Linked DNA regions of Nothobranchius furzeri. The protein of the gene in region 2 interacts with the protein of the main gene of each other region in a biochemical or structural test. Links are inferred from orthologs where the notes say so. Each region holds a gene or a part of one and is shown on either strand. Other genes may lie near its edges. The genes, in order: AP-2 complex subunit mu-A and atg9a.

Region 1 (3,293 bases), on a different chromosome or scaffold from region 2:
CATAACTTAAATCATGTAGAAATGCTTATTTTTGTAGTTTTCTTGCCTGTGATCTCATTTGAACTCTGAGCAGAGTTGACAAAAGCAAGGCTGGACTTGCATTTTTCTTTGAGCAATTCAGATCTAAGCTTATGAGGAACTTGTATCAAAACAGCAGGTATTGTTTTTATATTCATCTTGGAAATACACAAATGTTCTTCCTAAAGAGGGTTTTAAAAGTTCCTCATGACTAGCACACTTCGATGGCAATCTGAGGGTTAACCAGTACTTCCACTAACTAATGCTGTTTGATGGCGTCACCTGTAGCTTAAACATGGGCACAAACGAGGATCATAGTAACAGAATTGTCTAGTCAAATATCCTGGATTTTCCCATCTTCAGTGATCTAAGCATGTCTTTCATCCAAGCAAAAACGAGACATTGTAATGATTAGTGTAAATGTTGGCTGTCATTGCTAATCAGATTTGAGCGTTGAAGAGAAACTGCAGGGGAGAGATCCAGCCTAGCTTGTGGTGCTAAGCTACGAATCACGTCCACTTAACTCGAATGGCAGAAGGCAAAGAAATGTACACAAGTAGTTTTAATTGTTACTTTTGTCTGATATTTTGGATGTAGACCCAAGAATAAAAAAAGTTAACAGTTTTTAACAGTTTTTCTGGTCTGATTAACCAATCTAATTTTTTCTGCCCTTTCAATTTTCTTTTGACAGCAGTAATGGAGAAAAATGACTGTACTCCCCCCCCCCAGAGTATTATAAAAAACACAGCTGAAAAGGAGGGGTAAGATGTTTGGTTACATAGATTTTATTGGACAGAACGGTCACCAGGGCTACACACATGAAGCAGACAGTGGCGAAGCAAACACCAGGGGGAGACATCACCTCACTGCAAACCCTGCAGACTGATCTTTAAATCCAAAAATAGTGTGAAAGTTAATCTTAGTGCTTATAAAATGTTTGTGGGAATGAGTCAGAATAAGCCAATCAGGATGAAGGTCTAACCTGCCTGGCATAACTCTGAAAGCGGAGGGAAAAGGAACACAGGTAAAGGATCAGTAACGTCCAAGTACAAAACCAACTTGCTCAGCGTCATTTCTTTCTGAACGACAGTCGGCTGGGAATGATTTACCTTCTAGTGACGAGCATGTAGCATCAAATACCGATTCATTGAAAAGGTCAACTCTACCAGGATATTTATATATAGAAACTATCAGGACTTATTTTAAATCACAATAGTGACGAACCCCCTTCCCAGGGTTAACTGACGTGGGATTTCTATATCGGAGAAAAGAAGAACGATAACACTGGATACACAAAGCTCCCGCCCTCTCCCCCTGAGACCCGGCATCACTTGTCTTTTTCATTCGGACACCAGATGGTTTACATTTTTTACTCATCACTACTAGATATATACGATACAATGGTTCACATTTTGCATATATCTGAATTACACCATATTTACTTGTTTTTCTTTTAAACGATGTAAATTCAATCTCCGACACCTAGTTAAGAAGGGATGATGGGGAAGGAGAAAAGTGATAAGGACAGAGGGAGGAACAAAGACGGAGGAGGAGGAAAGAAGAATAAAATGACAGGAAAGATGGGAGGGAAGTGGTCAGTTTGCTGCCTGGCGGGGCTGAACTTCAGCAGCGGGTTTCGTAGATGCCGGAGCGGCCGATGTACCGCACCCATTTGATGACGTCGTGGTCACTGTAATTGAGCTTGGACTCAAACACCTTCAAGTAGCGCACCTTCAGGCCAGAGGGTGCGAAAGGAACCTGGAGAGGAGAGGGAAGTTGGAACATGTTAGGACAGGCGGGCTGCTCTGTTTACCCACCACCGAAGCTCTGAGTTTGTTTAACACTAAACGGCTTTTAAGTTTCTTAGCAAATACTGGGATCTGATTTAACCCAGAGTCCATTTGTTTGGCTGCCAACACCACATTACAGTCTCAGCCACCAGGAGAAGCTGGGAAATATCTAACTTATTATTATCTATGTCTGTGACTGTTCACAGAATAAATATAGTTTTAGAAACATCAGCTGGAAGAGAAAAGTTCACTTTGAATCCGACTGAAATTAGGAAGCTCTTAAGCTGTGACAGCTTAAAGGAGGACAGACTGGACTGTGCTGCGCTTACCTCAAAGTTCATAGAGATGGGAGGCCTGGCCCATTTCTTCTTATCGTTGGTAGGCAGCAGCTCAATCTCAGCACTGATCTGAGACTCCTTCATCCCAGCCATCCGCTTGATCCTGCAAATGCAAACTTGTAGCTTCACAAAGGAAACATTCCCACACAGGAATACTTGAGAGGTTAAACATCGAGTTCAGATTGTTAATTAAATTTAATCTAAGCTCCAACTCACTTCCAGACTATGGCGTTCTCACTGGCCTTGTATTTGGCTTTTCCCTTCATGCAAATCACCTGCACACCGCTAGTGTTGAGGGGTGTTGGAATTCGCACCTGAGGAGAGAATTAGCCCAGATATTTACCAGTGAAGTCAAAACTTAAAGAATTTCATCAAAAATGTAAAAATGTGTTTGCTGACCTCAATTTTCTGAGCCAGCAGCGAAGGTTTGAAGTTGGACTTGATGACCACTTTAACCTCCAGTTTGGTGCGACCCACCTCCCTGACCAGAGGAATAACTCGGAACGGCAGGATGATGTCCTTAGTGGTGCGATATCTGAAAAATACATACATTTAAAAAGTAAATTAATAAAAATAAATGGGGGGGGGGGGGGGAATTATCAATCCACCAAAATTTTGAATGAGTGGAAAAATAAAAAAATAAATAAAAACCCAGCAGGATCTATCAGAGCAGACATTCATGGATGCTTTAGGCTCTAATAATCTACTACCATTACTGACCTCATGAGCTCATACTCTCCATCAGGAGGGATGAAGCTGATGCTGCGCTCAGAATCAAACTTACTGAGACGCACACACTGGTGGAAAGTGCAGTCATCAATGGCTATGGACTGCTTCCCACTGAAGAGGACAGAAGATGCATCAGACACACCAACTAACTTGTTACTAGTCTGGATTTTAACTATCCTTTTCCAATCTACAGATAAAATCTACTCTCTGGATATCCACCAGTATACTTAAGTACAAAGACATGGCTGCTAGAAGACAACATTTGAACCTGGATTAAATTATTACTACAAAACTACAGTAAATGATGATGGGTAAAGAGTGAACTAGGACGGTTAGGGATGATGAAACAGTTACTGGGCAGAACACAGGAGGAGAATGAAGCGGTGGAGGGAGAGGAACCTTGTTGCTATCGTACCTT
Region 2 (4,551 bases):
GCTAGAACGTCCTCATCATAGATTGTCAGGGCAATAAGAACTGCCAGGAGGGACCCGGCAAAAAACGCAACGTTTTTGGCGACTACCATCAGCAGAGGGGACAGGAAGCAGTTCATGTACTTGGATGCAGCCTGAATTAAAAATAGGAGAGGAAAATGGTTATTTGCTCACTCTACATGCAAACTATAAATGAAAAATCCTAATATCTGATGCTTTTGGAGAAGGTTCAGGTGGTGAGCTGACCTTGTAGCCTTTGCTGAGGCGGGACATGAGTTCATGGTCCAGTTCATTAAAGTGACGTAAATAACATCGACCATAGAGAGACCAGCATCTCGCCCCCAGAGAACCGGGCTCTCGTTTGATCACCTGGGTGCACAAACACAAGCTGCTGCTGCAGAAATAAAACTTCAGAGCTCTGATGCGTGGATGTGGAGCGCTTACCTCGGTGTAACTGAAAAAAGCATAAAGAATCTGCCACACCAGGATGACTGGACACAGCAGCAGATTAGCAATCCCAATCCAAAGGATGCGAGACGCCAGCCGGTCGGCGAGCTCGAGCCTGTTGCCTCCTCTCTTATACTCAGGTTTTAAACTCCACTCGTTCTCAAACAGAGAGCCTACAGAAGCGGAATGAAAAGCTCTGAAACTTGTCACAAACATGCAGACACGGGGATGTTAACATGCATGAGTGAAACATCAGTTTAGCTACAAGGTCTTGAGTCGAATGTAATAAAAACAAATCAAAAACACTTCTAACTCACCTGGTCCCCAAAAAAAGATGAGCTCAAAGTTGTACTTAAGACCGCGAGTGTAAAAGACGCACTCTCCGAGCACCGGAAGCCGAAATCGCACAGGGAGGAGAGATTTGTTTACCATAGCAACCTAGAGAAGAACAGGAAGCACATCTGTCATCTGATCAGCTGTTGAACAGTCACCATGCCAGCAGAAATGTACACACCATGTAGTTTTTAAAGCGGAGGATGCGGTGGTAAATATCCAGCTCTGTCAGTTCTTTTTTATGAATGCAAATCTGGTGCTCCTTCTGGATCTCGATGATCCTGGCCTGAACTTCCTGCCATGTTGCATAGGGGAGCTCAGACTGCAGCACGGAGCACAAGAAGAGGTTAAAGGTCAGCCTCTGATGTTTGTAAACATTACAAACTTGACTGGATGTTATTTTGAAAACACCAAACAATTGAGGACATGTTGTCTCATCTCACCATGGACATCTTGAGGGCGTGGATGTAGAAAGATCTGATCTCCCAGTAACAGCAAACGTTGTAGATAAATTTGACAAAGCGATGTAGCCAAAACACCCCGGAGATGATCAACACGAAGATCACAAACGTGTTGTCTCGAATGCTGCAAGAAAAACAATTCTTTTGTCACAATCAGGCAAATCTTAGTGTGGAAAATGTAGATTTATTGTGAATAAAATGTCAGACTCACTGAGCGCTGCAGACATCCACTGGGAGGAATGCATCAGGCAAAGTGACTTTAAAAGAATTAGTGTGGTTTACAAACTTGTTGGCAAAAAGTATGTCATAATCCACGCAGTTAGCGAGGAACACGGTGAAGCCAACCACAAACAGCAGCTGACTGCGGGGGGGAGGTCGGGACCAAACAGCAAGGATTAAAGAGACGAAAGACAAGACGTCAACTATAACATGACTAAGGTTTATGATACGTACACCAGCTCAAAGATCTCCCCCAACAACATGCAGGTGAATCCATTCTTCTGGTGAAGATTATAGACGTGGTGAAAATTAAGGAACATTGTGAGATTATTGGTCTAATGTAGTTGTAACAATCGTGTAAAAAAGGATATTCTTTGAAAAAACAGGTCCAGGTTTTCAATGTGATGCCACTGGGCTGAATGACAAGAATCGTTGATAAATAAAGACGTTGTTGGGCAATATGTGATGTCATTTAAGTGTGCATGTCATACATTTGCTTCCTTCGGCCACGTGCATCAGCAGGTTTTCTTCTCCGGGGGGAGAGTCGCTGTAGGACGCTTCCAGGCGCTGGTACTCTGTGTCAAAATGCGCCATGGTGACCGGGCTTGAGTCTGACTGAGCAGTCACAACTACAGGCTGGAGAAGGTATCAGAGACAAGGATAATCATTACCAGCTTTCTTATCCTGAACATCCTGTAGATAACACAGGTAAAGACAGAGCTTTGGTTTTGGAGCTGCCACCAGATTTCTGTTGATAACAATAATTTAAAACCAAACACCTTGAAAAAAAGAGCACCTTCAGTAATACACCAGATGCTTATAAATGTTTGAAATGTCAAAACCAAATTAGAAAATAGATTTAAAATGCCTTATGAAACATGATCTGGGGATGATATCAAATGAGAATCAGTGGAGGATATGAAACTCTGTTGCTTCATACTGCAGCTCCCTTTGAAATCATCAACTAGAATTGATTAATAATGAAGTAAATGTGATAAAAGTTTTTTCAAACCTGCTTACACGTTTAAAGTGTTGCTATAAGCACTGAAGAGATCCCAAAGACACTCTTGGAACTCAAATTTTAAAATCACATTAGGAAACATGTAATAATAATAATTATTATTATTATAATTATTATTATTACAATTATAATAACAATACAGACTTACATTATTTGGAGTATGGCCCGTCCCATTTTAAACCGATAGCTCGTGTCCAGCTGTAATAACATTCATATATATTTTACTTTTAAAATAAAAACTATTCAAAAATAGCCTCTTTCCCTAATAAAATTCCATCCTTACGATTTTGACAGCTTACACAACACACAAACACACACAATCAAAGCAAAACTTACTCCAAATGTCAGTTTTATGTTATTTATGCTAATGTTTATTAGCCATGACTAATTACCTGTAAAACAACAAGAGACGTTTTCGTGCTTTGACACAACAGGCCTGCCTCTCCTACCTCTCCTCTCGGTCCCAGCCGCATGGAGTCCACGCCACTTGGCTCCTCTTCCTTTACTGGGTGGGTGTAGAACAGTCAATCTCCTGGAATTTAAGATAACTATATTATTTTTCGTTTCCTCTGTGCTCCCTCTCGACGTCAGGTACGAGACAGTTTCATTTTCGAAACGCCTAGCTGCGTGCAGCCTGTCATCAGTGAGTGACAGAGGAATTATCCAATCAGAGAAGGACTTGTCTGACGAAACAGAAAAAGGGTGGGATCAAAAGGTTTTCATCTCTCCACTCCTTTCTCCCCCCCCCCCCCCCCCAAAAAAAAAACTTTATTGAACAAGGTCATAAGTATACAAACAAATAGCATACAAAATTGAACCAAGAAGATGCAACATGTGCCAGGGGGTGCACTACAGAAATGTTACACACATCCAAATAAATTATAGGTGGTGCAAATAGTTATAGTTTTTTAAAGCTTTTTTGTTTAGTGATCCACTAATCAATTTTATGTAAAATAGAGTATCACTATAATAGTGCTTGAAATTAGGTTTTTGGTTACTATATTTGCATTTGTGGAGATAGAATTTAGCTAGAATAATTAACAAATTTATAACAAAGTATACACCTTCATTTCTGTGCTTGCGAAAAAAACAAAATACAACATTTTCCCATTTTAAAATGAAGTCCTTGCAGAGCTGTCCGATAATAAATCTCTCCACTCCTTTCAAGTCACCGTTTTTAATGAATACTTTACTGCCACCGTGTGGTCTTTCTCTAGTACTACAATCATGTCGGATTTACAGAAAACAGTTTTTGCTCATTTATTAAATTGATTGCATAATCATGTGAATTATTGAATGTTATTTAGAATAGAATAGAATAGAATAATCCCACAATGAAGAAATTCACTCGTTACAGCAGCACATACAATTAGAGAAAAGGATGGAGGAAAAATAAGATTGCAGGTAATTACACAAAGGCAGTAAGCTATTGATGTACCTTCAACAATGAAAACAGCAAATAAAAATAGAAAATCGAGTTTTTAAAAATATGCAGCATAAGGGACACAGACATACCAATGTACATCCAGTATTGCACAAGTATTGGTTTGTTGTTTACATGTGAAAGCCGAAAACAAAACAAACAAGAAGACACATCAGGCAAGGGTTGAGGAAGAGAAAATGTTTGGTTCTAAAACATTTCTTAAATATTTAATTAATTTAAATTTGGGTAAAAATCATTCTGTCTTAGAAATTAAGACTTGATTTACAAGAACAGATATTTTTTAAATAAATGTCCAGAAAATACATCTTGCTTTGGTTTATATCGGTAACATTGATGATTTTGATCCAAAAATTGCTTTTATCTGTTTTTGCAAATATTCTCTATTCTCTGAGTTTTGTCCAGTAGCTGGGTCCAGAATACAAAGATAATTTTTCCACAAAGCCAGTGTAGTGTACCAAAAGGCCAAGTACTTGATCAAAAATGACCAGAAGTTAACTCTTAACTTGCTGGCCAAACTGCTTCATACAGGTCAATCTGACACCGTGGTGCCGAAATGAAATCTATGAACTTGAGCCAACATTCTTAGCAAATCCTGCATGCATCATGAGTCCTCAAGGCTGCAAGATTTG

What was found.
Region 1: the proteins of atg9a (region 2) and AP-2 complex subunit mu-A interact in a biophysical measurement, tested with the Homo sapiens proteins (4 studies listed by BioGRID and IntAct, with this or other methods). The link is inferred for Nothobranchius furzeri from reciprocal best matches to the Homo sapiens genes ATG9A and AP2M1.

Annotation. Positions count from the first base shown.
Region 1 is NC_091751.1:56,902,777-56,906,069, reverse strand, and holds the end of AP-2 complex subunit mu-A, read right to left. Parts: intron 2,987-3,293; coding exon 2,867-2,986; intron 2,682-2,866; coding exon 2,546-2,681; intron 2,461-2,545; coding exon 2,363-2,460; intron 2,250-2,362; coding exon 2,138-2,249; intron 1,777-2,137; coding exon 1,642-1,776; 3' UTR 781-1,641; downstream 1-780.
Region 2 is NC_091758.1:23,767,490-23,772,040, reverse strand, and holds the start of atg9a (autophagy-related protein 9A), read right to left. Parts: upstream 3,116-4,551; 5' UTR 2,928-3,115; exon of another isoform or gene 2,871-2,927; intron 2,677-2,870; 5' UTR 2,627-2,676; intron 2,094-2,626; 5' UTR 2,052-2,093; coding exon 1,949-2,051; intron 1,873-1,948; coding exon 1,829-1,872; intron 1,757-1,828; coding exon 1,692-1,756; intron 1,600-1,691; coding exon 1,450-1,599; intron 1,363-1,449; coding exon 1,221-1,362; intron 1,100-1,220; coding exon 959-1,099; intron 883-958; coding exon 762-882; intron 618-761; coding exon 244-617; intron 132-243; coding exon 1-131. UniProt on the Homo sapiens protein: Phospholipid scramblase involved in autophagy by mediating autophagosomal membrane expansion. Cycles between the preautophagosomal structure/phagophore assembly site (PAS) and the cytoplasmic vesicle pool and supplies membrane for the growing autophagosome.